4 linked regions of the Macaca mulatta genome follow. The protein of the gene in region 4 interacts with the protein of the main gene of each other region in a pairwise test. Links are inferred from orthologs where the notes say so. Each region holds a gene or a part of one and is shown on either strand. Other genes may lie near its edges. The genes, in order: TRIM21, RBM45, PPCDC and TXN2.

Region 1 (7,870 bases), on a different chromosome or scaffold from region 4:
CATTTTGTATACCAGCTCAGCCACAGTAGAATAGGGTACTGGTCAGAGTCATAAGGTCTTAGCTCCTGGATGACATTTTTAGATACACCCTGGGCCAGAAGGGAACCTGCTACCTTAAAGGAAAGGAAGCAGTCCTGGCAGCATTTATCACCTGCTAACTGAAGCGCCTTTAGGCCCTGAATAAACAGCAGCAATACCCAGGTACTATGTCAAGGGACTTTGAACCTCTGAGACATGCTGGCTTCAGGTAAGACTCAGCCCATTACCAGCTGTGGTAGCTATGGGGCAACACTTCCACTTGAGCAAAGCAGAGGGTAAAGTGTGCCAGCTCAGGCATGGTGGGAGGGGGTAGAGTATGAAGCAGGCTGTTGAGGTCCCCAGTTTCAGGACTTGACTGAGGTGGCATTCCTGGACCTGTCCTGGGCCAGAGGGGAGCCCACTGCCCTGAAGGGAGAGTCCCAGGCCAGGCAGCTTTCACCACAAGCTGACTTAAGAGCCCTGGGTCCTAAAGGGAACATTGGTAGTGGTCTGACAGCATTTTCCATGGGCCTAAGGTGGTGGTAGCCATGAGGTGAGGCTCCCCTGCCTTTGGAAAGGGGAGAGAAAGGTGGGAAGGACTGCATCTTCTGTTTTTGGTGCCAGCCCAGTTGCAGTACAATTAGAATGCTGGGTAGACTAAGGTTTTTGACTCTAGTCCCTGAGAAAGTATACAATGGAGCTTTCATATATCTGGCAGCAGACTTTTTAGTGGAAACCATACAGACCAAAACATATTTAAAGAGCTGAAGGAAAAGAGACTTATTCCAGAATATACCTGACAAAAATATTCTTCAAATGTCAAAAAGAGATAAGAATTTCCCAAACAAAAGCTGAAGGATTTAATCAACACCAGACTTGTCTTACAAGAAATGCTAGAATAATACTTCAATCAGAAAGGAAAGATGTTAATGAGCAAGAAGAAATTATCTGCTCACTGGTAATAGTAAGTACATAGAAAAACAAAGAATATAATTATACTAACTGATGTGGAGACTACTCTTATGCTAAGTAGAAGGACTAAAAGATGATCAAAAATAACATCTTTAAGAAATAGTACAATAAGATAGAAATAAAACATTAAAAAGTCAGGAGATTATATGGTCTAGCTGTGTCTCCACCCAAATCTCATCTTCAATTGTAGCTCCCATAATCCCCATATGTTGTGGGAGGTAATTAAATCATGGGGGTGGGTAGGTTTTTCCCATGCTGTTCTTGTGATAGTGAATGTCTCATGAGATTTGATGGTTTTATAAAGGGCAGTTCTCCTGCACATTCTCTCTTGCCTGCTGCCATGTACAATGTGCCTTTGCTCCTTCTTTGCCTTCCATCATGATTGTGAGACTTCTACAACCATATGGAACTGTGAGTCCATTAAACCTTTTTTTTTTCCTTATAAGTTACCCAGTCTTAGGTATGTCTTTATTAGCAGTGTGAGAACAGACTAACACAGGAACAAAGTTTTAGTTTTAGTTTTTTCTTATTTATGTGAACAGGATTAAGATATAATTGGCATAAAAAATGGGTTGTAAAGATAGTATTTGAAGCCTCATGGTACTTTCAAACCAAAATCCTACAATAGATACACAAAAAACAATAAATTAGTCATATTACCAGAGGAAAAAAAATTCCTGGCCAGGCATGGTAGCTCATGGCTGTAATCCTAGCACTGTGAGAGGCCAAGGTGGGTGGATCACCTGAGGTCAGGAATTCGAGACCAGCCTGGCCAACATGGTGAAACCCTATGTCTAGTAAAAATACAAAAGTAGCCAGGCGTGGTGGCAGGCACCTGTAATCCCAGCTACTTGGGAGGCTGAGGTGGGAGAACTGCTTGAACCTGTAAAGCAGAGTTTGCAGTGAGCCAAGATCATGCCACTGCACTCCAGCCTGGACAACAGAGCAAGACTCCACCTCAAAAAAAAAAAATTACCTTCACTAAAGTGAGACAGGAAGGAAAGGAGGAAGAGAAGACTGTACAACAAGAAAACAGCAAGATGGAGTTACGTCCTTACTTATCAGTAGCATTAAACATAAATGGACTAAACTCTCTAGTCAAAAGAGTGGCTGAATGGATGATAAAAACAAGACCTAGTGATCTGTCGCCTAGAAGAAACACTTCATCTATAAAGACAGACTGAAAATACAGAGATGAAGAGAAATATTCCATGCCAATAGATACCAAAAAAGAATGAGAATAGTTACATCAGACAAAGTAGATTAAGATGAAAACTAAGAGGCAAAGGTTGCTATGTAATGATAAGGAGGTCAAGTTGTGCAAGAGGTTACAACAATTTTAAATATATATGCACCCAACACTGAAGGACTCAGATACATAGAGCAAATATTAGAGCTAAAGAAGGTAGGCCCCAATACAATAATAGCTGGAGACTTCACCCCACTTTCAGCATTGGACAAATCTTCCAGACAGAAAAAGAAATACTGGACTCGATCTGCACTATAGACCAAATGGACCTAATAGAGAACATTTAGAGAACATTTTGTGCAGTTACTACAAAATACACATTCTTTTCCTCAGCACATGGATTATTCCAGGATAGACCGTATGTTAGGTTACAAAACAGGTGCTAACACATTCAAAAAGTTGAAATAATGTTGTGATAGTTAACAAATGTCAACTTGATTGTATTGAAGGATGCAAAGTATTGTTCCTGGGTGTGTCTGTGAGGGTGTTGCTGAAGGAGATTAACATTTGAGTCAGTGGACTTGGAAAGGCAGAACCACTCTCAATGTGAGTGGGCACCATCTAATCAACTGCCAGTGTGGCTAGAATAAAGCAGACTTGCTGAGTCTTCCAGATATTATCTTTCTCCTGTGCTTCTTCCTGCCCTCAAACATCAGACTCCAAGTTCTTCAGCTTTTGGACTCTTAGACTTACACCAGTGATTTACTAGGGACCTTCAGCCACAGACTGAAGACTGTACTGTCAGTTTCCCTCCTTTTAAGGTTTGGGGACTTGGACTGGTTTCCTTGATCCTCAGCTTGCAGACAGTCTATTGTGGGACTTCACCTTGTGATCATGTGAGTTAATACTCCTTAATAGACTCCCTTTCATATAGACACCTATCCTACTAGTTCTGTCTCTCTAGAGAACCCTGACCAGTACAAATGTCAAGCATCTTCTCTGACAGCAGTGAACTAAAACTATAAGTTAATAATAAGAATTTTGGAAACTATACAACTACATGGAAATTAAACAATACACTCCTGAATGACCAGTGGTCAACGAAAAAATTAAATTGAAAAGTTTCTTGAAACAAATAGAAACAACATACCAAAATTCACAGGATATAGTGAAAGCAGCAAGAGGGAAGTTTATAGATGTAACTGCATACATCAAAAAAGATGAAAAACTTTTAAAAAAAATCTAATGATGTATCCGATTAATAGCCAGAATAAAGAGCTCAAACTCTATATGAAATAAAACCTAGTAATCTGAACCAAAAAAGGGCAAAATATTTGAATAGACATTTCTCAAAAGATGACATACAAATGGCAAACAGGCATGAAAAGGCATTAAACATTACTGATCAGAGCAATGAAAATCAAAACTATAAATCTCATCCCAGTTAAAATGTCTTATATAAAAAAGACAGGCACTAACAAATGCTGGCGAGGATGTCAAGAAAAGAGAACCCTCATTCACTGTTGATGGAAATGTAAATTAGTACAGCCATTCTGGAGAACAGTTTGGAGGTTCTTCAAAAAACTAAAAATAGAGCTACCATATGGTCCAGCAATCCACTGCTGGGTATATAGTTGATGTAATTTTGCTGTGTCTCCACCCAAATCTCATCTTGATTTGTAATCCCCACATGTTGGGGAAGAATCTAGTGGGAGGCAGTTGGATCATGAGGGCAGTTTCCCTCATGCTGTTCTCATGATAATGAGGGAGTTCTCATGAAATCTGATGATTTAAAAGCATTTGGCAATTCCCCCTGCTTGCTGTTCTTCTGCTGCTTTGTGAAGAAGGTGCCTGCTTCCCCCTTGCCTTCTGCCATAAGTTTCCTGAGACCTCCCCAGCCACGCAGAACTTTAAATCGATTAAACTTCTTTCCTTTATAAATTACTCAGTCTCAGGTATTCTTTATGGTAGTGTGAAAATGGACTAATACAATATCTAAAAGAAATGATATCAGTATATTGAAGAAATTTTTTTATTCGCATTTTTCTTGAAGCACTGTTCACAATAGCAAAGATTTAGAAGCAACCTAAGTGTCCATCAACAGATGAATAAAATAAATGTGGCACATATAAATGAATAGTGGTCCATTGTGTATAAGAATGAGATCCTGTCATTTGCAACAACATAGATGGAAATGAAAATGTTAAGTGAAGTAGCACAGGCACAGAAAAACAAATATTGTATGTTCTTAATTATCTGTGGCATTGGGAAGGTTACAGGAGGGGTAAGGTGGGGATGGTGAATGGGTAAAAAAATAGAATGAATAAAATCTATTATTTAATAGCACAACAGGGTGACGAGTTAACAATAATGTTACAGCACATTTCAAAGTAACTAAGTAATTGAATTGTTTAACACAAAGGATAAATGCTTGAGGGATTGGATACCCCACTCTCCATGATGTGAGTGTTATGTATTGCATATCTGTATCAAAACATCTTATTTACCTCATTAAAATGTACCTACTATGTACACACAAAAATTAAAAATTAAAAGAATTAACCTGGAATAGCTATATCAACTACAGTCAAAGCAAACTCCAGAGAAAGCAATATTATTATGCATAAAAGGGAATGTATGATAATGATGTCAAGTCTATGAAAAGACGAATTTTTAGTGTGTATGTACCCACAATAGATCAAGATATGTGAGGCAAAAAACTGAACTGAAAGAAATAGGTAAATCCATTATTAAAGGTTGAGATTAATGCCTTTCTCCATCAGTAATGCATCCAGCAGATAAGGGTATGGGGAAAAAATAGAAAAGCCAGTTAACACTGAACATATTTTAACCAACAGTATTCAATCGAAATGCACACAATATATTTAAACAGTAGAATATACATTCTTTAAGTAAACCAAGTAGAATATTCACCAAGTAGACCACACTTTGGGCCGTAAATCATATCTTGGACATTAACATTGATTAAGAACTTCTTTACTACTGATTCAATTTCTGAAGCTTTTCAGGGTTTCAATCTCTTGATTCACTGTGAATTTTCTAATTTGTGTGCTTAAAGACATTCATAGTAGTCTCTGGGGATCTTCTGCATTTCTTTGGGATCAGTTGTAATATTATCTTTGTTATTTCATTATGCTTATTTGGATCTCAATCTAGTTAAGGGTCTATTAGTTGTGGTTTATTTCCCCCCCAAAGAATTCTTGGGTTTATCGACCTTTTGTTTGGATTTTTTGTATCTTAATTTCATTAGGTTTTTCTCTAATGTTTTTCTTCTGCTGGCACTGGGAATTTTTTTCCTAGTCCTTTTAAGGTACAAAGTTAGATTGTTAATTTGAGCCCTTTGCAACTTCTTGATGAAGGTATTTAGGGCTATAAACTTTTCTCTTACTGCTTTGGCTGCATCTTAGAGATTTTGGTAAATTGTATCTCCATCTTTGTTAATTTCAAAGAATTTTAAGTTTCTGCCTTAATTTAGATGTTTGCTTAGAAGTTATTTAGGAGTAAGTTGTTTAGTTTCCATGCATTTGTGTAGTTGAGAGAGCTTTTTGATATTGGTTTCCATTTTTATTGACCTGTGATCCAAGGGTGTGCTTGGTATGATTTCATTTTTTTTGAACTTGAGACTTGCTTCATGACCAAGTATGTGGTTAATCTCAGAATATGGTCCATGTGCAGATGAGAAGAACATATTCCATGGTTATGGGGTGTTCTGTAGATGTCTATTAGGTCCAGTTTTCTGAGTGTTGAGTTTAAGTCCAGAGTTTGTTAGTTTCTGTCTCAATGATCTGTCTAATGCTATTGGTGGGGTGTTGAAATCTCCCACTATTATTTTGTGGTTGTCTAAGTCTTTCTGTAGGCCAAGTAAAGGAGAAAAGAAAACCCTTGTATGCTGTTGATGAAATGCAAATTGGTATGACCATTGTATCAGTCTGTCCTTACATTGCTATAAGGTGCTATCTGAGACTGGGTAATTTAAGAAGAGGTTTGACTCACAGTCCAACAGACTTAACAGGAAGCATGACTGGGAGGCCATAAGAAAGTTACAATCATGGTAGAAGGCAAAGGGAAAACAAGCACTTCTTCACATGGCAGGAGAGAGTGTGAAGGCAAAAGTGCCACACACTTTTAAGCCATCAAATCTCGTGAGAACTCACTATCACAAGAACATCGAGGGGGAAATCCGACCCCATGATGCAATCACCTCCCAGCAGCCCCTCCTCCAATTTGACATGAGATTTGGGCAAATCCAAACCATATCAGCCGTTATAGAAAACCTCTTGAGGAATATCCATGCAGTTTACAGAACATAAGACCCAGGAATCCCTCACTTGGTACTTACTCAAAGGGAGACCCAGGAATCCCTCTACTTGGTACTTACTCAAAGGGCATGAAATCAGCACCTTGCAGAAATAACCACACTTCCATGTTCATAAAATTGTTATTCACAATAGCCAAGATATGGAATCAACCTACTTGTCAATTGACAGATGAATGGCTAGAGAAGTTGTAGCATTACTAGATACTGCCATTTGTGACAATAGCATGATGTCCTCAACTTCATCTAAGTGAAATAAGTCAGACACAGAAAGATATGTGAAATTTAGAAAATGTCAAAGACAGAAATGGAGTGTAGAACTGGTTACCCAGGGCAGTGAAGGAGAAGAAACAGGGAGATGTAGGTGAAGGGTACAAAGTTGCAGCTATAAAGGATGAATAAGCCTAGAGAGCTTTTGTATAACATGAGGACTGTATTTGTATAATGAAATATTAACTTATTTTCTAAGAGTAGATTTTTGGCATTCTTACCACAAGAACAGGTAATTCTGTGAGATGATATATTGTTAATTTGGCTGCAGTAATAATTTCATTATGTATAACAAAACATGTTTTATAACTTAAAATATGGATTAAAAACTTCCTGGTCAGTGGTAAAATTTTATATTTACCCTGAATTTTATAGGGATCACTAAACCAGAATGGAAATGAAAGTGGGGAGGAGCGTTCCAAGATGGCCAAATAGGAACAGCTCCGGTCTGCAGCTCCCAGCGTGATTGATGCAGAAGACGGGTGATTTCTGCATTTCCAACTGAGGTTCCTGGTTCATCTCACTGGGACTGGTTGGAAAGTGGGTACAGCCCATGGAGGGCAAGCTGAAGCAGGGTGGGGCATTGCCTCACCTGGGAAGTGCAAGGGGTTGGGGGAATTTCCTTTCCTAGCCAAGGGAAGTCATGACAGATTGTACTAGGAAAATCTGAACACTGCAACCTAAACACTGCACTTTTCCAATGGTCTTAGCAAATGGAAGACCAGGAGATTATATCCCACTCCTGGCTCAGCAGGACCCACGCCCATAGAGCCTTGCTTACTGCTAGTCGGAGATCCAACTATGAGGCCGCAAGCCTGGCTGGGGGAGGTGCATCCACCGTTGCTGAGGCTTGAATAGGTAAAGTGGCCAGGAAACTCGAACTGGGTGGAGCCCACTGCAGCTCAAAGAGGCCAGCCTGCCTCTGTAGACTCCACCTCTGGGGGCAGGGCATAGCTGAACAAAAAGGCAGCAGAAAATTCCACAGACTTAAACGTCCCTGTCTGACAGCTCTGAAGAAAGCAGTGGTTCTCCCAGCATGGTGTTTGAGCTCTGAGAATGGACAGACCTGCCTCCATAAGTGGGTC
Region 2 (7,285 bases), on a different chromosome or scaffold from region 4:
ATATATCAATAGCATATAAAATAAATGTGAAGAGAAATCATACTTTGTTGATTGTCTATGTAAGAAAATTTTCAGAGCTATAGTGGAAGACCACATAGATGCCATGATACATATCTGTCTTTAGCTCTTGGCCAAAAATCCGTAAAGGGCATTTTTTTCTTTTTCTTGTTTACCTGTTAACAGCAATTTGGAGGAAGCTCTGGATCACAGTTGCCTCAAATCCAGACAGATGTTGTACTTCCATCATGCAAAAAAAAAGCTCCTCCTGAAACTCCTGTGAAAGAAAGACTTTTTATTGTGTTTAATCCTCATCCTTTACCTTTAGACGTATTAGAAGATATATTCTGGTAAGAAAGTTACACTTTTTGTTATATTTTATTTACACTAGTAATTTAATTATTCTCATAATCTAGACACTTCCTTCCTCCAGTACCTATCAGGTAGAGATGATTTGTTCTCTGGTTTTAAAAACTCCTCATTTGTATCATCTTTTTCAATTTCTGATTATTTTCTTCTCTTGTTTATCAGTCACACATCCTAAGGCTCCATACAGAATTTCCTGCTACTTTGTTTTTGAAGACATAAAATGGGCCTGGTGCAGTGGCTCATGCCTGTAATCCCAACACTTTGGGAGGCTGAGGTGGGAGGATCACTTGAGCTCAGGAGTTCAAGATCAGCCTGGGCAATATGGCAAAACCCCATCTCTACAAAAAAGACAAGAATTAGCCAGGCATGGTGGTACATGCCTTTGGTCCCAGCTACTTGGGAGGCTAAGGTGGCAGGATTGCTTTTGCCCAGGAGGTCAAGGTTGCAGTGCGCCAAGACTGTGCTACTGTACTCCAGCCTGGGTGACAGAGTGAGACCCTTTTTGTTTTTAGTGTTTTTTTTACTAAGCATCTTCTGTTTTGTTGGTGCATTGTTGGATCCTTAAGGGTTATCCATTTGCATTGTGTAAACAATTACTTGATTGTAGGGAAATACATATAAATGTTTTTTATAATAAAAAAGAGAAGTTTCTTATTTATTTTTGTGTTTTTAACATAACTCCTTTCTTCGATTTTTCTTTTAGGCCTTTTTCCCATTTGCCTTATAAGAATGTTAGTGAATTAGATAGATAGAAAACTTGTTAAAGAACTGCACAAAATATCAGGGACATAATGTGATAGTATATTGAGGCTCAAAAGGAAAAAAAATCAGGACATGGTTCAAGTGTTTTGACCTTTATTTAACTGATATATTTAGTTTTTTTCTTGAACCTCTTCTTTGTTCAAGGCAGGAACTGTGCTAAGTACAAGAGACATTATGTAAACAAAATATTAAATGGACAAGACATTATAGTTCTTGTCATCTTAGAGCTGATCTCATGTAGGAAACAGACAGGTAAACAGAAAATTACAACCCGGTGTGATTGTTGCTGTGATAAGGAATGTGTAAGATACATAGGAGGAGCAGTTACCTTAGAAACTCTGAGAAGCCTTGAAAGAAGGCAGGTGTATGTGGAGACCTGAAGGATAAAAATAATTTCTCCACAGGTGAAAGCTGGGAGTGTGCATGGTTATTTCTGCCATAGAGAATATAAAAGAAGGGCTATTAGATAGGTAATTTGAGAGATTGTTAGGGAAGATGAAACTAAAGAGTCCAAGGACCATGTTAGAAAGGCTCTCGAGCTATCTTAAGGGATTTGTTGTCACCATGGAGGCAGTGGGGAGCTGCAGAGGGGACTTTTAGGGAGTAAATGATCATATTTATGTTTTAGAAAGATCACTGAAAAGACAGAGTGGAAAATGGATTGAAGAGGGACAAGCCCAGGGTTAAGGAAACTAGTGAAAAAGGAATTAGATTAAGGAAAAGATGATGGTCTTAATGAGAATGAATAGAATTGACTGACTGAGATGTTTAAGATGACATGAGGCCGGGCGCGGTGGCTCAAGCCTGTAATCCCAGCACTTTGGGAGGCCGAGGCGGGCGGATCACGAGGTCAGGAGATCGAGACCATCCTGGCTGACACGGTGAAACCCCGTCTCTACTAAAAAATACAAAAAACTAGCCGGGCGAGGTGGCGGGCGCCTGTAGTCCCAGCTACTGGGGAGGCTGAGGCAGGAGAATTGCGTGAACCCGGGAGGCGGAGCCTGCAGTGAGCTGAGATCCGGCCACTGCACTCCAGCCTGGGCGGCAGAGCGAGACTCCATCTCAAAAAAAAAAAAAAAAAAGATGACATGAGTTGGATGTCAGATGTGGGGAGAAGGGTGAAAAAGGAGTTAAGAATGGACTCCAAATTTTAGACCTGAGAAGCTGTATTTATCAATTTTGGTTGATTATTTTTTTCACTTTGTTTCAGTCGTTTTGGTAACCTGATCGAAGTTTACCTTGTATCAGGAAAAAATGTGGGGTATGCCAAGTATGCCGATAGAATAAGTGCTAATGACGCTATTGCCACTCTACATGGGAAGATTCTGAATGGGGTGAGACTTAAAGTTATGCTGGCAGATTCGCCAAGAGAAGAGTCTAACAAACGGCAAAGAACTTACTGATTCTTGAGGTAAGCCCTTTTTAATCTGAATTTTAAAACATATTGAGTAAATAGTATATGAGGAATATGTGTAAGTACTTTATGAACTTTTCTTTTTAGTGATTTAGAAGTTGTCAGTTAAAAGAGCTTTGCAACTATTTAAACTTTAAAAATTGTTGACATTTACTGAAGAATGTTTTTGCCCTTCTATAAAATAAAACCACATTTCAGTTTAGAAAGATAATTGTTTTTTGTTTGTGAAATCTTAGATTTTAAGAATTTGACTTTTTATTATGTGCTTATATAAACTTTAAAATTGTCCAGTGCTAGAATAAGGATTGCTTTAAAAAAAAAATTGAAATACTTCTAAAGATTTTTAACTTGAAGAATTGGTGTCTTGAGTTATGAATTGAGGTAATTTATAACAGTCGTTTAGAAAGATAATGTTTTGACTTCTCTCTAATGAAATGCCTAAAAAGCAATATCAAATAATATATCATTTTTGGACCTTTTGAACCTAAATATTGGTGTTTTCTGGACTTATATTTGTGAGTTTTTGCATTAAAACAGTACCTTCAGAAAATATTCTCGTGTGCATATATGTATTTTTTAAGAAAACCTAACAATTTACCAAAAACTCTTTATTGTAAATTTTGATACATACAGCCATATGAATTCCATTTCCTATTTTATTTATTAGTTTCCAAAAATCAAACTACAATTTCTTTGACTGTGACAGTTAGTTTATATCTGTGTGGTTTGGGGAAATATTCCTTTGGCTTTTTTTTTTTTATCTTTTTTTCTGAGACATCTCGGTCTGTCACCCAGACTGGAGTGCAGTGGTGAGATCTCAGCTCACTGCAACCTCCACCTCCTGGATACAAGCGATTCTCCTGCCTCAGCCTCCCCAGTAGCTGGGACTACAGGCGTGTACCACCACACCCGGCGAATTTTTCGTGTTTTTGGTAGAGACGGGGTTTTACCGGGTTTCGATCTCCTGACCTCGTGATCTGCCCGCCTCAGCCTCCCAGAGTGCTGGGATTACAGGCATGAGCCACTGTGCCCAGCCTAAAGTTTGGCTTTTTTTATTCTGTAAAATAATTCTGAATTTCAGGGGAAGCTGTTTTCCTGTTCACACACACCAACTTTCCAAGTCTACTATAGGTCAAATGTAGTAGATGGCAGGCACTTTGAATTCAGTTTGAAGTTACTGGCTTGAAACCTTTATTTTTTTCACTTAAGATTTTCTTTCTGACCAATTGTGTGAGCTAGCACATATGAGAATGAATCCTGCCAGGCATCACTGCTGATGACCCTTCCTCTCCTAGAACAGATCACATAATTAGTTCCTCCTTCATAGAAGGCATTTGACAAGAGAAAGTGCCCATTGGGCCCATTATGAATAATCCTAATTTTTAAATCTTTTAAAATGTTTTATTAAATGACAAAACCACTCTCATCGTACCATACATTGTTAGCAATTTAACCCTGGATATATTAAATTGGCAGTGAGAAAGAATTAGCAGGCATTTTTTCCTGTTTATGGATAAAATGTTAAGAATGAATTCTGTTTGGACAAGCTATTCTCTAGCATGCAAAAAATGTGTTTTTTCTAGTCTGTGAGTATTTCAAGAATAGGAAATAGTTCTTGCTTTTACTCAATAAATCTTTGTCCTTAAAAAGGACAATAATATAGACTTTAGACTTCTCAGTATAGAAAACTATATAAATTACTCTTATGGTTGAACCTTTTCTAATGATTATTTACATGTTAAAGAGATTATTGGGCTTAAAATAAAAAGCCATTTAACTGTGACTGAGCTGGTCTCTACGCCGTTTTTTTTTTTTTTTTTTTTAAACACAGAATCTCACTCTGTCACCCAGGCTGGAGTGCAGTGGCCTGATCTTGGCTTACTACAAACTCTGCCTCCTGGGCTCAAGCAGTCCTCGCAGCTCAGCCTCCCCAGTAGCTGGGACTACAGGCATGTGCCACCATGCCCGGGTAATTTTTTTTTTGTAAGACAGGGTTTTGCCGTGTTGCCCAGACTGGCCTTGAACTCCTAAGCTCAAGTCATCTGCCTTCCTCGGCCTCCCAGAGTGCTGGGATTACAGGCATGAACCACTGCACCTGACCCTCTTTGCCTTTTTGAGCCCCAGTTTTCTCATAGGGCTTTTGAGAGACAATGAGTCAACAAAATTCCTTGTAAAATGAAAAAAAGGCTTTGCAAGTCTAAGCTAAAACTCTTGCATTTGTAGCTTCAGTGAAACCTTTGAGATGTCCTCTTATCTAAAATAATGACATCCAAATGATCAGAAACTAAAAGTATAATGATATAAAACTACCTCATGGCCAGTTGGTACTGTGAGAACTAAGCCTTATAATACCACATTTTTCCCTGAAACTCATCCAATTTCCTACATTAGAGGAATTGCATATTCAGCATGGCTGTTCACAAAAATTTTAATCTATCATTTTTCCCTTTTTTGAACTGTTACACATATTCAGGGCAGAGATAAAATAGGGGTCAGGTTAGTTGAAATGGCTATTTGGATAGGATACGATTAGCTACACGGTTTTGAATTTCTTTTAATTGCAGCATGGCTTTTTTATTTTTGCTGCGGATCTTCTATTTACAATGGACTCCATTATGAGACTCTTCTTCTTTGTTGGTGTATTAAATAAATATATTACCTTATTTTAAGGTTCGATAAAATACTGTGGAAGACTTTCCCAAATTTTATATGATTGTGACAAGTTTTGGGGGGTAGGTGCACTTTTTTGTTTGTTTCTTTAATTTTTAAGAGGCTGCAAACACCATTCATGAAGGCTGGTTTATTTTATCTCTGAGGTATGGGCCTGGGATTAAGTGAGTCATGCCCAGGAAATAGAAGCAGCTGATCCAAGGATATAACATTGAAAGTAGTTGAGTTCTATTTTGAGATGGGTCTGATAACCACAATGTAATTCTCTATTTGAGGAAAATAGAAATTTTAGTATTTCAGAGAATCGGATTTTTTATTAATTCACAACACTTTCCCTCTAGAAATTCAGCACCTGCATCGCCCTTCTGAGTAAGTTTGGTTTTATTTGGGGGCAGCTATGATTAAGCAGATAACATTGGGTATATTGAAATAAAGGAACAATTCCTAACATTTTAGGAATACTACAACAGTTATTTCCTTTCCTTTCAGGTGATGATTTTCATACTTGTGTTGTGTTCTTTCTACAGAACAAAGACTAAATAATGACATAATCCTCAGCTGACTGACTGAAAATGTGACTGGACGCATTCCCTGTGGACAGTTGACAGCTTTTTTTTCATATACCTGATAGTCTGTGTACAGCATTGTTTTGTCTGGGAAGCAGGGATTGCTGACATGTATTTTTGAATCCATACATTAATGCTAAAACGAATATAGTAGTTGTTCCTTAGAGCAATATGTTGTTACGTGTAGCAGAAATAAAGTTTTCTTTGCTTAACTAAATGATGACTTATTTATGTGAAAGACAAGAATGGAAAAATTCAATAGACAGTCTTTAGAATTTGACTAAATGACATATGTCATTGATTTTGAGATGCACATCTTTCTCATTCTAACACCCCTGAAAGTAGAAGCATCTCGATATCAGTTGTATCGCATAATGTAATTAACAACCTTATTTTCTTTCTTAATAAAACATGAAAAGGTGCTTTTTTTCAATCAATTGCATCTTAGAGTCAATAAAATATGGTAATTGCTACTCAATCTATACATGGAGCTTAACTGTTTACACTTAATCTAAGGACAAAAGACAAAAATCATTGGAAATATTTTATACAGTATTTTTTTTAGTTATACCAAAATGTGTTGGTAATTTTGTAAAGCTCTTTTAAGATTATAAGGGAACAGTGATAAAAAAAAAATTAAAACTTGTTGATAATAAATTTAAATAAATGTCAGTGGCTTTGGGGGATGGACATTTTTATCTTTATAGAAATAATAGCCACTCCAAAAATATGAAATGTAAGGAATTTTCAAAACAGACTACAATAGGAGGTATAGTTATTTTGAAATTAAAGATTAAAAATTAGGGCTGGGGGTGGTTTGCTCACCACACCTATAATCCTGGCACTTTAGGAGGCCAAGGTGGGAGGATCACTTGAGCCCTAGAGTTCAAGAGGAGACCAGCGTGGGCAACATAGAGGACCTGGTCTCTACAGAAAATTACGAAATTAGCCAGGCGTGGTGGTGTGTGCCTATAGTCCCAGCTACTCAGAAGGCTGAGGTGGAAGGATTGCTTAAGCCTAGGAGACCGAGGCTACAGTGAGCCACAATAGTACTGCTCCAGCCTGGATGACAGAGCGAGACCCTGTCTCAAAAATAAAAACTAAAACTAAATAAAGATTTAAAATTAGGGATCTATTCTGCTTGTATTTTTAAAACTTTAACAAAAAAATTTTATTAGCTCTGGAGTTGAATTGATATGTATCAAAAAGGTATATCTAAATCAAGCATTTGGCACTTTTTATAAAAAGGTATTATAAATAATATGCATTTGTTAAAACATAATTATCTCCTCATTATACTCACATTCTGACTCAAACTAACGATGAAAGATTAAATTCAGCCATCTTAATAATTGAGTATCTTATACTTGGACATCTCCACTGGAAAACTAAAATCTTTTCTTTTAAAAGTCAGTGATTTTAGCAAATTTAGATAAGAAAATTTAGTCTTATCATCACAGGCAAAACTGCTGATAAGAATTGGGCCAGGTATCTTTCTGTGAGTCAG
Region 3 (8,047 bases), on a different chromosome or scaffold from region 4:
GAAGCCTGCCTGAGCTGTTTGGACAAAAATCCAAACCCTGCTTGGCTACTCTGGCCTGGCTTCAGCTTGGAACCCAACACCTAGGCTTCCAGGCCACCCTGAGCCAGGGACCTCTGGAAGTTCTCTTCCTGATGGTCCTTTAGGTTTGGGCCACAAAATATAATTACCTCTCCTCTCTCCCATTTTCTCTCTAGGGAGCAATGGTCACAGTCCCTGGTACCTGAAAAGGGACCCTAGGTCTAGGCCCTTCTTCCCTTTCCCTTCCTCTCTCTTACCTGAGACCTTTGGCTCCCTTTTCCTTCTCTCTCTGGTGGCTCCAGGAGGCCTGTGATCTAGCTCCCTGCTTAGCACCCATGACCTGTTGGATGTTACCTCCAATCAATATCCTGTCCTACCTGCCTCTTTGGCTCAGACCTATATGGCCACGCTCTGGCTTTACCCTTGGGAAAGCCTGATCCTGGTGTGTGGCCCAGCTTGTTCAGGCCCTGGGATGCTGCATCTCCAGGCAACTATGCACTCTCCCAGGGAGGGAACCAGTATGAGAAGTGGGGGCAGGGCACACATTTCATCTTTGCAGGAAGGTCTGGCCTGGGGTCAAGTGGAGGAGGGCCCAGGTCAGTTCTGGGGTCCCAGTGACCTGCTTTGCTATTCTCCTGGTGCCGCTGCTGCTCCCTATTTCTGGAGCTGGATGTTCCCCAGCTGGCAGTTGAGCTGCCTGAGCCAATGTGTCTGTCTTTGGTAACTGAGTGAACCATAATAAAGGGGAACATTTGGCCCTGTGTGTTCTGCTGTGCCATGTGTCTTCCTGTGGGCTTGCGTGGAGCCTCACGGCAGGCTGTGGGGCAGGGGCATGAAAGTATGGGGGCTGGGTGGGTCTGTGGTCTGTCATTCCTGGGATCTAGAGCTATACGACCCTGTGTGGCTCTTTATCTGATGCAGCCTTGCGTAGGTGATGAAATTGCCACCGAGGCCCCCTGCCTTGGGGGGAGGAAGTGGAAGAAGCAGGCTTGATCAGCCGGGCGTGGTGGCTCACGCCTGTAATCCTAGTACTCTGGGAGGCCAAGGCAGGTGGATCACGAGGTCAGGAGATTGAGACCATCCTGGCTAACAAGGTGAAACCCCATCTCTACTAAAAATATAAAAAATTAACCAGGCGTGGAGGTGGGCACCTGTAGTCCCAGCTACTTGGGAAGCTGAGGCAGGAGAATGGCGTGAACCTGGGAGGTAGAGCTTGCAGTGAGCCAAGATCACGCCTGGGAGACAGAGCAAGACTCCATCTCAAAAAAAAAAAAAAAAAAAAAAAAAAAAAAAAGCAGGCTGGATCCCTGGGTAAGGGATGGTTTGGCCCAGATGGTCCATTGCAGCCAAGGGCAGGGGTAGAGCAGAGGCCCCACCTCAGCTCAGGGCAGGGAACCCACAGCTGCTTTAGCCACCTCAATGAATACAGAGGTTTCTGGGGCCTGTGAAGGCTAAAAAATGAAAGGGGCAGGGAAGCATGCCCAATGTGCATTCTCCTGCTGCCTTCCCTTTGCCCATTCGATGCCCTCCACCTGGATTGCTGTTGGGATCCTGTATCTAAGCTCCTGGCTGTCCTTCAAGATTCATCTCAAGTCACTCCTTCAAGAAGGCTTTCCTGCCTGGAGGTGTTGCTTCCTCATGGAGGATCTTACCCTGTCATTTTCTGTGTCCCTGTTTGTGTCAAGAACAGGGACGCATCTGATTTATCCTGTATCCTGTGTGTATCCTGTGCACCTAAAATAGAAGAACCTTGGTAAATATTCAGCATTAAGTGCCCCGAGCCCTCTTTTACTAAGGACCTGCCAACATGGGCCCCATTCACACTAACACCGTGAAGATGGCCCTTTTCTATATTCCGTCATAAAAAAGTACTACACGCACCCGGGCAGCAACTTCCACACAAACAAGCACATGTGAAAGGAGATCACCATTATTTCCAGCAAAAAGCTCCCCAGGCCTGGGTGCGGTGGCTTACTCCTGTAATCCCAGCATTTTGGGAGGCCAAGGTGGGCAGATTGCTTGAGCCTAGAAGTTTGAGACCAGCCTTGGCAATAGAGTGAGAACCCGTCTCTACAAAAAATACAAACACTAGTCTGGCATGATGGTGCACTCCTGTAGTCCCGGCTACTCAATAGGCTGAGATAGGAGGATGGCTTGAGCCCGAAAGGTGGAGGTTACAGTGAGCGGAGATAGCACCACTGCACTCCAGTCTGGGTGACAGAGCCAGTCCCTGTCTCAAAAAGGAAAAAAAAAAAAAGCTCCCCAACAAGATAGCAGGCTAGAACATGCATGTGATGAAGGTGATATGAAGGGCTCAGTGAGAGGTATCTCCATCAAGTTGCAGGAGGAGAAGAGAGAAAGGAGAGGTGATCATGTTCCCGAGGTCTCAGGCCTGGATCAGGAGATCACTGAAGTATTAACAGATCCTGATATTAAGGAAATGCTGATGTTTTTGGACTTTGGCAGTCTGTCCAACCTGCAGGTCACTCAGCCGACAGTGGGGATGAATTTCAAAACGCCATGTAGAGCTGTTTGAATCTTTTCGGGATACTGTAATATATTCAATAAACCTGGGACAACAGCAAAAAAAAAAAAAAAAAAAAAAAAAAAAAGGCTCCAAGCAACGAGCAGTGTGTATGGGGCTGATAGGAGTGAGGAGAGGCGGTCGGACAGTTATGCCAGCCCCTATCGAGAGTCCCAGCAATACAAAGAACAGGAAGCCAGGGTTTGCTCCAGGATTTCCCCAGTGGACTATAACTCCTGGAAGACAGAGAAGTGGACTACAGCTCCCAGAAGGCTGCGCGACACACAGCCCCCACGGTGCTCTCGTGAGGCGTGACAGTCAGATTCCGCGGGAGGGCGGCAGAAATACCGCGATATTTGGGGTCGACCCCGAGACGCGCCTGGCGCGGGTGAGCAGTGGAACGGGGCCGGGAAGCTGGGTTCTCGCGGCGGCGCGGGAGGAGAGGTTCGGGGAGCTGTGTCTGCGAGCGTGGGTCCGTGGCTGTCTGTGTGTGTCCTCACTTTCCCCTCTGTGGCCATGAAGCTCTGCTTGCGACTGTGCGTGGGTAGACGGCTGTGCATGTGTGCGACCTCCGTTTCCCGGCTGTACGGGTGGGGCCGCCTGGAGCAGGAGGGACTCCAGAGCCCGGAGTGGAGGGTTTCCATCTGTGCACGTCCAGCCCAACTTTGTGCTGCTCTGCGATTATTTGTCCAGCGTCGTTTAATCTAGTTTAAATGATGGCCGTGTCAGCTCCTCACACTTAGCGTTTACTCGGGCTGCCCAAAATACAAAGTGTATTTTAAAAGTTGGTAAAATTAAAAAAGGAAAGCCATGGGATATTGGAAGTAGCCCTAGGCCTGCCAAAAAGTGCAGAATGCCGTTTAAAAATTAGGCCAAATCTTGTCGAAAAAGAACTTCCTGCTGTCCTTGAAGTATTTGGAAGCAGGTGCTAGATGGTGAGCCGGAGAGGTTCCCAGGTTGGGGAAGTGGTGGGTGTCTTGGACCAGGGGTTTCCATCTCTCTCACAGTGGCTGGAAAGTAGCAGTACGCAATCACTGCCTTTCTAGTAGCCCACGTGTGTGAGTGTGTGTGTTAGATACATTCATCCCTCAGTATCCGCAGGGGATTGCTGTATACTTTTTTTTCTCATTCTGTGACCCAGGCTGGAGTGCAGTGGTGGGAACATAGCTCACCGCAGCCTCGACCTCTTGGGCTCAAGGGATTCTCTTGCCTCGGTCCCCTGTGTATCTGGAACCACAGGCATAAGCCACCACACCCGGCTAATTTTTATTTTATTTTACTTTTGTAGAGACAGGGTCTCACCATGTTGCTCAGGCTGGTCTCAAACTCCTGGCTCAAGCAATCCTCCTCCCTTGGCCTCTCAAAATGCTGGGATTACTGATGTGAGCCACCACATCAGCCTTCCCGTATACTCTTTTTTCTTTTTCTTTTTTTTTTTTTTTTGAGTCAGCGTCTTACTCTGTTGCTCAGGCTAGAGTGTAGTGGTGTGATCATAGCTCACTGCAACCTCGAACTCCCTGGGCTCACATGATCCTCCCACCTCAGCCTCCCAAGTAGCTGGGACTACAGGCCCAAGCTACCACGCCCCACCATATAATTTAAATCATCTCCAGATTACTTATAAAACCTGATACAGTGTAAATGCTATGTAAATAGTTACACACTTTTTTATTGTGGTACAATTTAATAATAATTTATTATTAAATTATACAATATAAATTACAATAATAATTTATTATTATCAACATATTTTGAAACAGTCTCTGTCACCCAGGCTGGAGTGCAGTGGCAAAAACATGGCTCACTGCAGCCTTCTAGGCTCAAGTGATCCTCCTGCCTCAGCCTCCCAAGTAGTTGAGACCACAGGCATGTGCCACCACACCTAATTTGTAAATTTTTTGTAGAGCTGGGGTCTTGCTATGTTGCCTGGGCTCAAGCAGTCCCCCCACCTTGCCCTCTTAAATTGCTGGGATTACAGGTGTAAGCTGGAGCAGAACCCTGGGCGGCTGGTAGTGAGGGGCTTTGATGTTAGGCTAAAGGATTCGGGCTCATAATGGATCTTGGATCCCTGCCTACCCACCACCCACTTCCCTTGTTTGGTTCTGCTTTGTCTCAGGCTCAGTTCTCATCCTTCCTGTATTGAGCTTGAATGTATACCCTGTCTGACCTTGCTTTCCTTGCTCCCGTCTTTAGTCTGTTCTGTGCCAGCTCCACCTTTGCCCATATAGGGACTGGCAGGTATCCCTGAAACCTAAAACTCTGCCCTGAATTAAACTCATCAGAGGAGACTTAAACACACAAGCCGAGGCTCTTTGCGCTGTCTGTCCCTGTCTTTCTAGAGGATAGAGAAGCTGCCATTTTTCTGGCTGTGGCTTGCCTGCTTGGCTTGGTGCCCTGGGATCTTGAGGCTCAGTAATCACAGCCTGTAGCCCCATAATCTGCCTGCTTGCCAACTCTTTTTGCTGCTCAGGAGTTCCTGTGAGTTCAGCAGAGCCCGGGGAAGTGAGGTACTGTCTCCAGCTACCCTTCCCGTGCAAATAGGTGACTCCAACAGGATCTGGTTAGAGTAATAGACTTACTGGTTTGGAATTTGATCCTCTTTGCAAGCAAACAAAGGAATCCTGCCAGCCGTCACCCTTCCTGGAATTCTCAGGTTGAACTGATTTGACCTCGCCTCCAAATGTTGGTTAAATGATCCACTTTCTATTCCTCAAGTATATTAAACACACACATACACACACACACCCTCTTTTTTAGGAAGGTAGGTAGGTTTGATCCTTAGCACAGCTTTACTAAGCAGGCTAAGTACTATATTTCGGACTATAGTGCCTGCTGTGGGGAAGCAGTTGAAGTCACTAACACAGATTCCTGCCCCAAATTTAACTGATTGCTTTCTGTAACCTGTTTCCTAGGAATGAGATCAGCTTGATGCGGATGAGGTTCAGGGGCCTCAGAGATAAAATTTGGCTTCTGGTTTTGCAGGAATCTACCTATCCTAGCACCAGTTGGCTAGGGTGGGACAGGGTCAGGGTTTGAGATCTGGCAGGTAGGTTTCCCTGGAGAATAAACAACGTGCTCCCATCATCTACCAATGATGTGTTCTGGGAAGCAGCTGGCTGGTAGGCCCTCTGTACCTTGTCAGATGCTAACAGGGTTCCCCACTCCCTGGAGTAAACTGAGTTCTCCAACTCTGACCAAGCATTGCCCTGCAGTGGAGCAAACATTGAGATTACTGGCAAATCAAACTTTGGGTGATCTTGCCCTAGGGAACCAGCCTGTGGTTAACCCCTGCTGAGAAGTGGGATAATGCAGCCAAGCATGATCCTCAGCCCACGTGGGTTGTGCCCAAGTACTGAAGGCAAATCCTGGGCAGAGAGGCTAGAGAGCCAAGGGGCCTGTGAGCGAAGAGGAGACAGGCCCCTGTGGATGCTCAGCCATGGAGGGAGCCATTGGGCGACTCACCAGCATTGCTTCCTGGGCAGCTGCCTGGGTTTCCCTTGCCCTGCTGGTTCTTTTTAAAGTGTATCTTCTAGGACCTTCTGTCTTGTACGGAGAGGCCCTTACTGCTCTCTTTCATGTATCGAGTCAAAGTTTCTGCTGGAAGGAGCTTCAGAGATCATCTGGTCCTACCTCTTCATTTTTCTGATGAAGGGACAGGTCCAGGGAGGGAATGACCCTGGACCAAGGTCACTCCAGGTCAGGAGCACACCATGGTCAGGGCCCAGGGCTTCTGATTCACAGGCTGGGTATCTGTCTTCTGCCCCACACTGCCTTGGAGGGTATAGTTATTCATTCAGCACATGTTCAGGACTGCCAGCTAGTGGACTGCTGGTTGGCAATTAGACTTGGTCACACATTCAGGGAGCTTGCTGGTGGAGGGAGAGGCAAGGAAACTGATGTGTAAATTGAGTCTGTGATCACCAAAAAGGTACATCCCAGGGAAGGACTGATATCAGATAATTTCAGACAGGTGTGATTCCTGTCTTCTCGAACTCAACCTACAGATTCCCCAGAGGCAGCTACTGTGTTTTCCACAATTCTTTTGCATGGTGTTCAGTGTAATCGGTCCTCAGTGATGGTTGCTGATGAAGCATGTTCTGCTGGCCCAACCTGCAACGTGTAGGTTTTGGTGTCCATCAGCCATATTATCAAGAGCACTCACTTCTAGCAACGTCTGAGAGTCAGAGGAAGAAGCAAACCAGCTGGTCTCCTGGGGTGGCCTGCATCCTCTTTATGCTGGTTTCTTCTTGGGCTTTGATTTGTACGGTGGTGCCCATCTTGATTAACAAACAGGGACAGAGAGGTAAATCTCCTGGCTCCCTGGAGCACCCAAACCTCCTTGTTGCCCAGGGTTCCACCACATGAGCATCTTTGGAACCCATCCTCTCCTAGTCCAGTCTCTCCATTAGCCCAGTCCACTGCAGCAGCTCCTCTCACCCTCCAGTCTCTCCATTAGCCCAGTCCACTGCAGCAGCTCCTCTCACCCTCCAGTCTCTCCATTAGCCCAGTCCACTGCAGCAGCTCCTCTCACCCTCCAGTCTCTCCATTAGCCCAGTCCACTGCAGCAGCTCCTCTCACCCTCCAGTCTCTCCATTAGCCCAGTCCACTGCAGCAGCTCCTCTCACCCTCCAGTCTCTCCATTAGCCCAGTCCACTGCAGCAGCTCCTCTCACCCTCCAGTCTCTCCATTAGCCCAGTCCACTGCAGCAGCTCCTCTCACCCTCCAGTCTCTCCATTAGCCCAGTCCACTGCAGCAGCTCCTCTCACCCTCCAGTCTCTCCATTAGCAGGGTCCCTTTGACACTATCACTAGGTGTCAGCACCATCTTTCTAAAACCGAAACTCCTCACCCTGGCCCTCGCTGCCCATGGCATTCTGGCCTCACCCCGACTTTCAGCCTCACCTCCTACCCCTCCACCACCCCACATCACACTCTGGCTTCACTACTAAGGCACTCCCTGTTCCCCAACCTGCCGCACTCCTTCAGGACTTTCACCTTTGCAAGATTGTACCTTCTTTTGAAGTGATTTCTTCCCATCTCTGAAAAACTAACTCGTCCTTCAGGACTCAACCCTAACATCATCTTTTCTGGGATGCAGCCTCTGACTTCCAGAGATGGTCACTCTGAGCAGCCACGGCACCTGGTACAGCCCTTCCCCACAGCACTGCAACATTCCCTTGTGACTGACTGGCCCAGGTGTGGGGATGGCATCTCACTTTCTTTTCAAACTGTGTGCTCCCTGAAGCCGGGACTGCTGATCCCTTTAGCTGCCTCAGCCTCTGGCCTGGGGCCTAACACGTGGTGCTGCATACATTCTGGTCAGGTATATGAATGAAGAGGGTGGCCCTTGTTCTGCTTTTAGATCCTAAATCCTGACAGCTTTATGGAGCCCAGGCCTGGCAGGCTCCCAGAACTTGAAGCCACCAGACCCCACATGGAACCAAAGGCCTCCTGTCCAACTGCTGCACCCTTGGTGGAGAGAAAATTCCATGTTCTTGTGGGTGTC
Region 4 (7,715 bases):
AAGGACAAACAGGACTGGTCCTCCTTTGAAATTCAGAATGTGAATTAAGCGGCAAAATTGGCTCTCTAGAAAATACTGTGGAAGTGCTGAATAGGACTGATAGGTAGCTGTGGAAGAGAAAGTGCTAGAGACAGAAAAGCAGATACAAAAATTGGCAGGGCGGCCGGGAGCGGTGGCTCATGCCTGTTATCCCAGCACTTTGGGAAGCCGAGGCGAGCTATCACTTAAGGTCAGGAGTTCGAGACCAGCCTGGCCAACATGGTGAAACCCAGTCTGTACCAAAAATATAAAAAATTAGCCGGGTGTGGTGGTGCTCACCTGTAATCCCAACTACTTGGGGGGCTGAGGCAGGAGAATCGCTTGAACCCAGGACGTGGAGGTTGCAGTGAGCCAAGATCATGCCACTGCACTCCAGCCTGGCTACAGAGCAAGACTCCGTCTCTCAAAAAAAAAAAAAAAAAAAAAAGAGGCCGGGCGAGGTGGCTCAGGCCTGTAATCCCAGCACTTTGGGAGGCTGAGGTGGGCAGATGACGAGGTCAATAGATGGAGACCATCCTGGCCAACATGGTGAAACTCCTTAGCTGGGCGTGGTGAGGCATGCCTGTAGTCCCAGCTACTCGGGAGGCTTAGGGAGAAGAATCCCCTGAACCCAGGAGGCAGAGGTTGCAGTGAGCCGAGATCGCGCCACTGCACTCCAGCCTGGGCAACAAGAGCCAGACTCTGTCTCAAAAAAAGAAAAAAAGTATTGATCAACAATTGAGAAACTGCCTGTTCTTTTCCTTTAAAAACGCGCGGCCGGGCGCGGTGGCTCAAGCCTGTAATCCCAGCACTTTGGGAGGCCGAGACGGGCGGATCACGAGGTCAGGAGATCGAGACCATCCTGGCTAACACAGTGAAACCCCGTCTCTACTAAAAATACAAAAACTTAGCCGGGCGAGGTGGCAGGCGCCTGTAGTCCCAGCTACTCGGGAGGCTGAGGCAGGAGAATGGCGTGAACCCGGGAGGCGGAGCTTGCAGTGAGCTGAGATCCGGCCACTGCACTCCAGCCTGGGTGACAGAGCGAGACTCCGTCTCAAAAAAAAAAAAAAAAAAAAAAGCCGGGCGCGGTGGCTCACGCCTATAATCCCAGCACTTTGGGAGGCTGAGACGGGTGGATCACGAGGTCAGGAGATCGAGACCATGCTGGCTAACACGGTGAAACCCCGTCTCTACTAAAAAATACAAAAAACTAGCCGGGCGTGGTGGCGGCGCCTGTAGTCCCAGCTACTCGGGAGGCTGAGGCAGGAGAATGGCGGGAACCCGGGAGGCGGAGCTTGCAGTGAGCTGAGATCCGGCCACCGCACTCCAGCCTGGGCGGCAGAGCAAGACTCCGTCTCAAAAAAAAACAAAAACAAAAAAAACAAAAAACAAAACGCTCTTTCAGCTGCTGCTAATCCAAGTGTATATTCAGGACAACTTGAATCTCTGCTCCAAGTTGCAGTCTTCGAACTTGACCCAAATAAACTCCCTGCTTAAATTAAGCTCGCCTCAGTTTTTGTTTTCCTTTAGGTGGACACAGACGAGGGCCATTTAAGGATGACCCCTAAACCACGGGTGAGTTCTTTTACATATAAAGGGCACCATGCCTTTGAAGAGCTTAGCTTTACTTATTAAATGAAGAAACAGAACCTGTCAACATCTGTAGGAAGTGGACGGCGCCAGTTATAAACAGGAGGCTAAGCAAAGTGACTCACGCCTGTAATCCCAGCACTTTGGGAAGCTGAAGCGGGCGGATCACTTGAGCTCAGGAGTTCCAGACCAGCCTGGCCAACATGGCGAAACTCTATCTCTATTAAAAATACAAAAATTAGCCCGGCGTGATGGCGCGCGCCTGTAATCCCAGCTACCTGGGAGGCTGAGGCAGGAGAATCGTTTGAACCCGGGAGTTGGATGTTGCAGTGAGCCGAGATCGCGCCACTGCAACTCCAGCCTGGGAGACAGAGCGAGACTCTGTCATTAACCAATAAATAAATATAATTAAAATCAAGCAACAGTAGTTGACAAAATCAAAAACCACGGGGACCTCTCAACTGCCTTTTCTCCCTTAAGCACCCTTCATTGCTACCCCGGCGCCATCACCTCCTCTTCCGGTCCCTCCTCTAGGGCCCGCCCACCCCTTCCGGTTCCGCCCCGCGCCAGCCTTCGTCTCGACCAGGGCCTGCCCGCCTCTTCCAATCCCTCCCCCGACGGCCTGCCCATTGCTTCCGGTCCCTAGTTGAGGCCCCGCCCTTTCAGTTGTGCCTCCTCCCGCCATTCCTATTGGCGGAAAATCCCAGACGCTCCTCAAATTAGAGAGGGACAGGTCGGGGGCTGTGGCTCACGCCGGTAATCCCAACACTTTGGGAGGCCGAGGCGGGCGGATCACGAAGTCAAGAGATGGAGACCATCCTGGCCAATATGGTGAAACCCCGCCTCTACTAAAAATACAAAAATTAGCTGTGCGTGGTGGCGTGCGCCTCTAGTCCCGGCTACTCGGGAGGCCGAGGCAGGAGAATCGCTTGAACTCGGGAGGCGGAGGTTGCAGTGAGCCGAGATCGCGCCACTGCACCCTAGCCTGGCGACAGAGCGAGACTCCGTCTCAAAAAAAAATATTCGAGAGGGATGGTGTTCCGCCTGCCTGTCCCCGGAAGTGACGTTAATGTCCGCCTCCCTGAGGAAGTGACGACAGGAGTGCCCTTGACAGGCAGGGAGGGCTAAGCTGTGCATCCCTCCGCTCGCGTTGCAGGGAGGTAGGAGCTCAGTGGGGCTGGCTTGAGATGGTGTCGTGATAGGCATGCCGCGAGCGCGTTCCTGCGCAGGCTGGCGGCCGGACGGGTGGGGGGGACCTAGCTCGCCGGAGAGCCGGGGTCCCTGGTGGCGTCCGATTTTTCCCAGTTCCCTCCATTCATGTCCCTTCTTTATTAGTTCCCTCCAGTACATGTCTCTTCGTTTTTGGTTCCTACCATACTCTTAGATCCTCCTTCAATTGTTGCGTTTCATCTTTTCAGACGACCCTGGGTTCCAGTGTTGGCTGTCAGTAGTGGGGTTACTTTGGGCATGTCACTTAACTTACTTGAGCCTCGGATGCCTTTCCTTATTTGCAATGTGGGCAGTACAATAGCAACTTCCTCAAAGTTGCTGTAGGAAGATCAAGAATATGTGTAAGGTACTTGGTCCTTACATAAATTATTAAATGTTGGTTACTCCCTCCCGTTCTTCTGTTATAATCTAAATCCCGATTTCTTTTTGGTTGTGAAGCCAGTTTTCCTGTCCTTCTGGTTTGCCTAGCTATTCCTTTCCTTTGTTTCTCAGCTTCCTCACTTCTACGCTACAAATCTTACATATTATTTCCTTGCATTTTGCTTCCCACTCTGCCTCTTCTTGAGCCCCGACTAATCCCCAAATCTCTTTATTTTTCTAGTGTGTCAGCTTCCTTTTGTGTGCCCCAATTCTTCTGCCTCTTCCCTCACAGATGGCTCAGCGACTTCTCCTAAGGAGGTTCCTGGCCTCCGTCATCTCCAGGAATCCTTCTCAGGGTCGGTGGCCACCCCTCACTTCCAGAGCCCTGCAGACCCCACAATGCAGTCCTGGTGGCCTGACTGTAACACTCAACCCAGCCCGGACAATATACACCACCAGGATCTCCTTGACGACCTTTAATATCCAGGATGGACCTGACTTTCAAGACCGAGTGGTCAACAGTGAGACGCCAGTGGTTGTGGATTTCCACGCACAGTGAGTATTGGGGGTCCACGGAAGACTAGGGTCCTACTTGTTCAAGTATTTGTTGAATGCCTGCTATGTCCCAGGACCATGTTCTATGCTGCTCATATGTAGACTCAGTATACAGACTGGTCAGGCCTAGTCCCTGCCCTCAAGGGGAGTACAGTCTAGTAGAAGACAGATGAGTGAACAGTCTGCAAGCTGACTGCAGTTAGTGCTGGGAAACACATGTTCTGTTTCTTAATGTCCAGAAAGCTCAGCGTCATCTTCAACATGGACCAGAGTTGGAAAAATATGACTGTCACCTTGCTTTTGGTGTATATCAGTTCCTGGCCCTGCAGATGAGTTTATTTTAATACCTTGCCGTGAAAACTGCAAGAAGGGCTGGCAAAAAGTTATCAGTGTCGGCCGGGCACAGTGGCTCACACCTGTAGTGAGAGGCCAAGGCACACCTTTGAGAGGCTGAGGCAGGCAGATCACCTGAGGTCAGGAGTTTGAGACCAGCCTGGCCAACATGGTGAAACACCATCTCTACATCCAGGTGTGGTGGTGCTCACCTGTAATCCCAGCTACTCGGGAGGCTGAGGCAGGAAAATCACTTGAACCTAGGAGGCGGAGGTTGCAGTGAGCCAAGATCATGCCATTGCACTCCAGCCTGGGCAAAAAGAGCGAAACTCCATCTCAAAAAAAAAAAAAGTTAGTGTCATTACCATGGTGTCCAAGCATACAGGGCATAGGAAGGAGTGTCCTTTCAGTGCTGTCTTGAGTTTGCTTTAGAGATATTTAAGTCCCTCTGGCTTTCTGATTTTTAGCCTGGCCTTTTTTGTTTCTAGACCTTTGGGGCCTGGCTAGAGACCCAGCTACACAAAAACTGGACAAAGCCCTCTGAATGTGGCATCCTGGGAGAAACCAGTGTAGCAGAAGTTAAAAATTCAGGGGCCTTCAGGTCGGGCACAGTGGCTCACACCTGTAATCCCAGCACTTTCAGGGGCCAAGGCGGGTGGATTACCTGAAGTCAGGAGTTCGAGACCTGCCTGGCCAACGTGGTGAAACCCCCGTCTCTATTAAAAATACAAAAATTAGGTGGGCCTGGTGGCGGCCACCTGTAATCCCAGCTACCCAAGAGGCTGAGGCAGGAGAATCACTTGAACCTGGGAGGTGGAGGTTGCAGTGAGCTGAGATTGCGCCATTGCACTCTAGCCTGCGTGACAGAGGGAAACTCCATCTCAAAAAAAAAAAGAAAGAAAAAGAAATTGAAGGGCCTTCTGGTCAGTCTCTGACAGATTGTTCTGCCATCTTTCCAGTTGTTTCTCTGACTTACCCTGTGGCCTTGGGCAGGCCGCTTGATCTCTTTGTGCTCCCTTCTTCACTTGTAATAGGAGATAAGGTCTTGCACGCTGGGTTTTTAGGTGTTATGAGTTGTTTTTGTTTTTCTTCTTTTAGAGACAAGGTCTCACTCCGTCACCCAGGCTAGAATGTAGAGTGCAATGGTGTGATCACGACTCACTGCAGTTTCTACCTCCTGATCTCAAGCAGTCCTCCCACCTTGGCCTCCCAAAGTGCTGGGATTACAGGCGTGAACCACTGCACCAGGCCTGAGGGTTTTTTTTTCTTTTTTTTGTTTTTGAGACGGAGTCTCATTCTGTCACCCAGGCTGGACTGCAGTGGCTTGATCAGCTCACTGCAACCTCCGCCTCCCAAGTTAAGACGATTCTCCTGCCTCAGCTTCCCAAGTAACTGGGACTGCTGGTGCCTGCCACCACATCCAGATAATTTTTTTGTGTTTTTGGGAGAGACGGGGTTTCGTCATATTGGCCAGGGGTCTCTTGAACTCTGACTGCAGGTGACCCCCACCCCCCACCACCTCGGCCTCCCAAAGTGCTGGGATTACTGGTGTGAGCCATTACTCCTGGCCTATTTTCAGCATTTAAAATCCTCAGGCCTGACCAGGCACGGTGGCTCAAGCCTGTAATCCCAGCACTTTGGGAGGTCAAGACAGGTGGATCACGAGGTCAGGAGATCGAGACCATCTTGGCTAACACGGTGAAACCCCGTCTCTACTAAAAATACAAAAAAACTAGCCAGGCGAGGTTGGCGGGGGCCTGTAGTCCCAGCTACTTGGGAGGCTGAGGCAGGAGAATGGCGTAAACCCGGGAGGCGGAGCTTGCAGTGAGCCGAGATCCGGCCACTGCACTCCAGCCTGGGCGACAGAGCGAGACTCTGTCTCAAAAAAAATAAATAAATAAAAAATAAAAATAAATAAAACCCTCAGGCCTGACTGGATGTAGTATGTACCACCACACCTACTGCTCAGGAGGCTGAGGCAGGAGAATTACTTGAACCCAGGAGGCAGAGCTTGCAGTGAACCAAGATCGTGCCATTGCACTCCAGCCTGGGCAAAAGAGTGAGACTCCATCTCAAAAATAGATAAATAAGTGCTGAGAATAAAATAGGAGTTGTCAGCCAGGGGTTTGTGAAGGGTGGAACTGTTTTGGCCTGCTGGTGTAGTGAGCATTCCAGAGAGGGCTTCCGAAATGCACGATAAATGGGGTAGTGCCTCATTTTGTTTGGTAAGGAAGTGGGGTGTGAGTTGTTCATTCTTTGCCAGGCACTGTCCTTGGTGCCACATACATAGAGATGACAGCACCAGGCCTGTCCTGGATGAGCTTCCCCAGCAAGAGGGGAACCTGTGATCAGGGCAGTGATAGTGGTCAACTCAGGGGCTGTGGGATCACAGAGTAGCCTGTGGGTGAAAGAAAACACTTTCTTTTTTTTTTTGAGACAGAATCTCTGTCGCCCAGGCTGGAGTGCAGTGGCATGATCTCTCAGCTCACTTCAACCTCCGCCTCCCAGGTTCAAGCGATTCTCCTGCCTCAGCCTTCCTAGTAGCTGGGATTACAGGTGCCCACCACCACTGCTGACTAATTTTTGTATTTTTAGTAGAGACAAGGTTTTACAATGTTGTTGGCCAGGCTGGTCTCGAACTCCTGACCTCAGGTGATCCGCCTGCCTCGGCCTCCCAAAGTGCTGGAATTATAAGCGTGGGTCACCGCACCCGGCTAAAGAAAACACTTTCAACACAGCTTTGGGTTATGATCGATCCCGGCTGTGCTTCTCTAATCTTGCACTGGTTTCTTAACTCGTATGGGCTTCAGTTTCTTTGGAAGGTGCGTTCTCTTTGCAGAGTTGAGGGATGTGTTTGGTAAGAGCAGAAAAAGTGCTTGTCCAGGGACTGGCGCGTTGTAGACACTCCTGGCCATTGGTTCCCCTCCTTTTAGTTCTGAGTCCACATGGTGTTTGCAATAACCCCGCAGCTTCCAACGCATGTTTACCCACATTGCCTTAGTTGATCTCTCCTAATAGCTTTGAGAGCCATAATCTCTCTTTTTCAGATGAAGAAACTAGGACCCCAGAATAATCGGCTGGTTGGTGAGGAGCCTCTGTTTGAACCTTTTAACTTCCAATCCCATATTCTTTTTTTTTTTTTGGGACGGAGTCTCGCTCTGTCGCCCAGGCTGGAGTGCAGTGGCCGGATCTCAGCTCACTGCAAGCTCTGCCTCCTGGGTTTACACCATTCTCCTGCCTCAGCCTCCCGAGTAGCTGGGACTACATTAGCTGGGACTGCAGGCGCCCGCCACCTCGCTCGGCTAGTTTTTTGTATTTTTTAGTAGAGACGGGGTTTCACCATGTTAGCCAGGATGGTCTCGATCTCCTGACCTCGTGATCCACCCGCGTCGGCCTCCCAAAGTGCTGGGATTACAGGCTTGAGCCACTGTGCCCGGCCCCAATCCCATATTCTTTTATATGACAGTATATTTATCTGAAATATACTGAAATAAGTCACTTTTATTCTAAGAGTCTTCTGATGAGGCCTGTGTTTTAGAAGTCTGGGATCTGTGAAGATTTCCCACGTGCAGAATCTCCTGGCATTACCATTTGGTGTGTTAATTTTTTTTTTTTTTTTTTTTTTTGAG

Evidence for each region.
Region 1: the proteins of TXN2 (region 4) and TRIM21 interact in binary tests that used the Homo sapiens proteins (3 or more experiments, as listed by UniProt). The two-hybrid records come from large-scale screens. The link is inferred for Macaca mulatta from reciprocal best matches to the Homo sapiens genes TXN2 and TRIM21.
Region 2: the proteins of TXN2 (region 4) and RBM45 interact in binary tests that used the Homo sapiens proteins (3 or more experiments, as listed by UniProt). The two-hybrid records come from large-scale screens. The link is inferred for Macaca mulatta from reciprocal best matches to the Homo sapiens genes TXN2 and RBM45.
Region 3: the proteins of TXN2 (region 4) and PPCDC interact in binary tests that used the Homo sapiens proteins (3 or more experiments, as listed by UniProt). The two-hybrid records come from large-scale screens. The link is inferred for Macaca mulatta from reciprocal best matches to the Homo sapiens genes TXN2 and PPCDC.

What each region holds. Positions count from the first base shown.
Region 1 is NC_133419.1:71,424,204-71,432,073, reverse strand, and holds the start of TRIM21 (E3 ubiquitin-protein ligase TRIM21), read right to left. Parts: upstream 3,999-7,870; 5' UTR 3,989-3,998; intron 1-3,988. UniProt on the Homo sapiens protein: E3 ubiquitin-protein ligase whose activity is dependent on E2 enzymes, UBE2D1, UBE2D2, UBE2E1 and UBE2E2.
Region 2 is NC_133417.1:83,059,131-83,066,415, forward strand, and holds the end of RBM45 (RNA-binding protein 45), read left to right. Parts: intron 1-183; coding exon 184-347; exon of another isoform or gene 348-387; intron 388-2,292; exon of another isoform or gene 2,293-2,338; coding exon 2,339-2,531; 3' UTR 2,532-2,539; intron 2,540-5,701; exon of another isoform or gene 5,702-5,739; 3' UTR 5,740-5,995; downstream 5,996-7,285. UniProt on the Homo sapiens protein: RNA-binding protein with binding specificity for poly(C). May play an important role in neural development.
Region 3 is NC_133412.1:52,974,674-52,982,720, forward strand, and holds the start of PPCDC (phosphopantothenoylcysteine decarboxylase), read left to right. Parts: upstream 1-2,678; 5' UTR 2,679-2,693; coding exon 2,694-2,930; exon of another isoform or gene 2,931-3,014; intron 3,015-5,010; exon of another isoform or gene 5,011-5,049; intron 5,050-6,508; exon of another isoform or gene 6,509-6,634; coding exon of another isoform or gene 6,635-6,661; exon of another isoform or gene 6,662-6,985; intron 6,986-7,315; exon of another isoform or gene 7,316-7,903; coding exon of another isoform or gene 7,904-8,047. UniProt on the Homo sapiens protein: Catalyzes the decarboxylation of the cysteine moiety of 4-phosphopantothenoylcysteine to form 4'-phosphopantotheine and this reaction forms part of the biosynthesis of coenzyme A.
Region 4 is NC_133415.1:15,067,462-15,075,176, forward strand, and holds the start of TXN2 (thioredoxin, mitochondrial), read left to right. Parts: upstream 1-2,699; 5' UTR 2,700-2,768; intron 2,769-3,026; 5' UTR 3,027-3,175; coding exon 3,176-3,184; intron 3,185-3,490; coding exon 3,491-3,753; intron 3,754-7,715.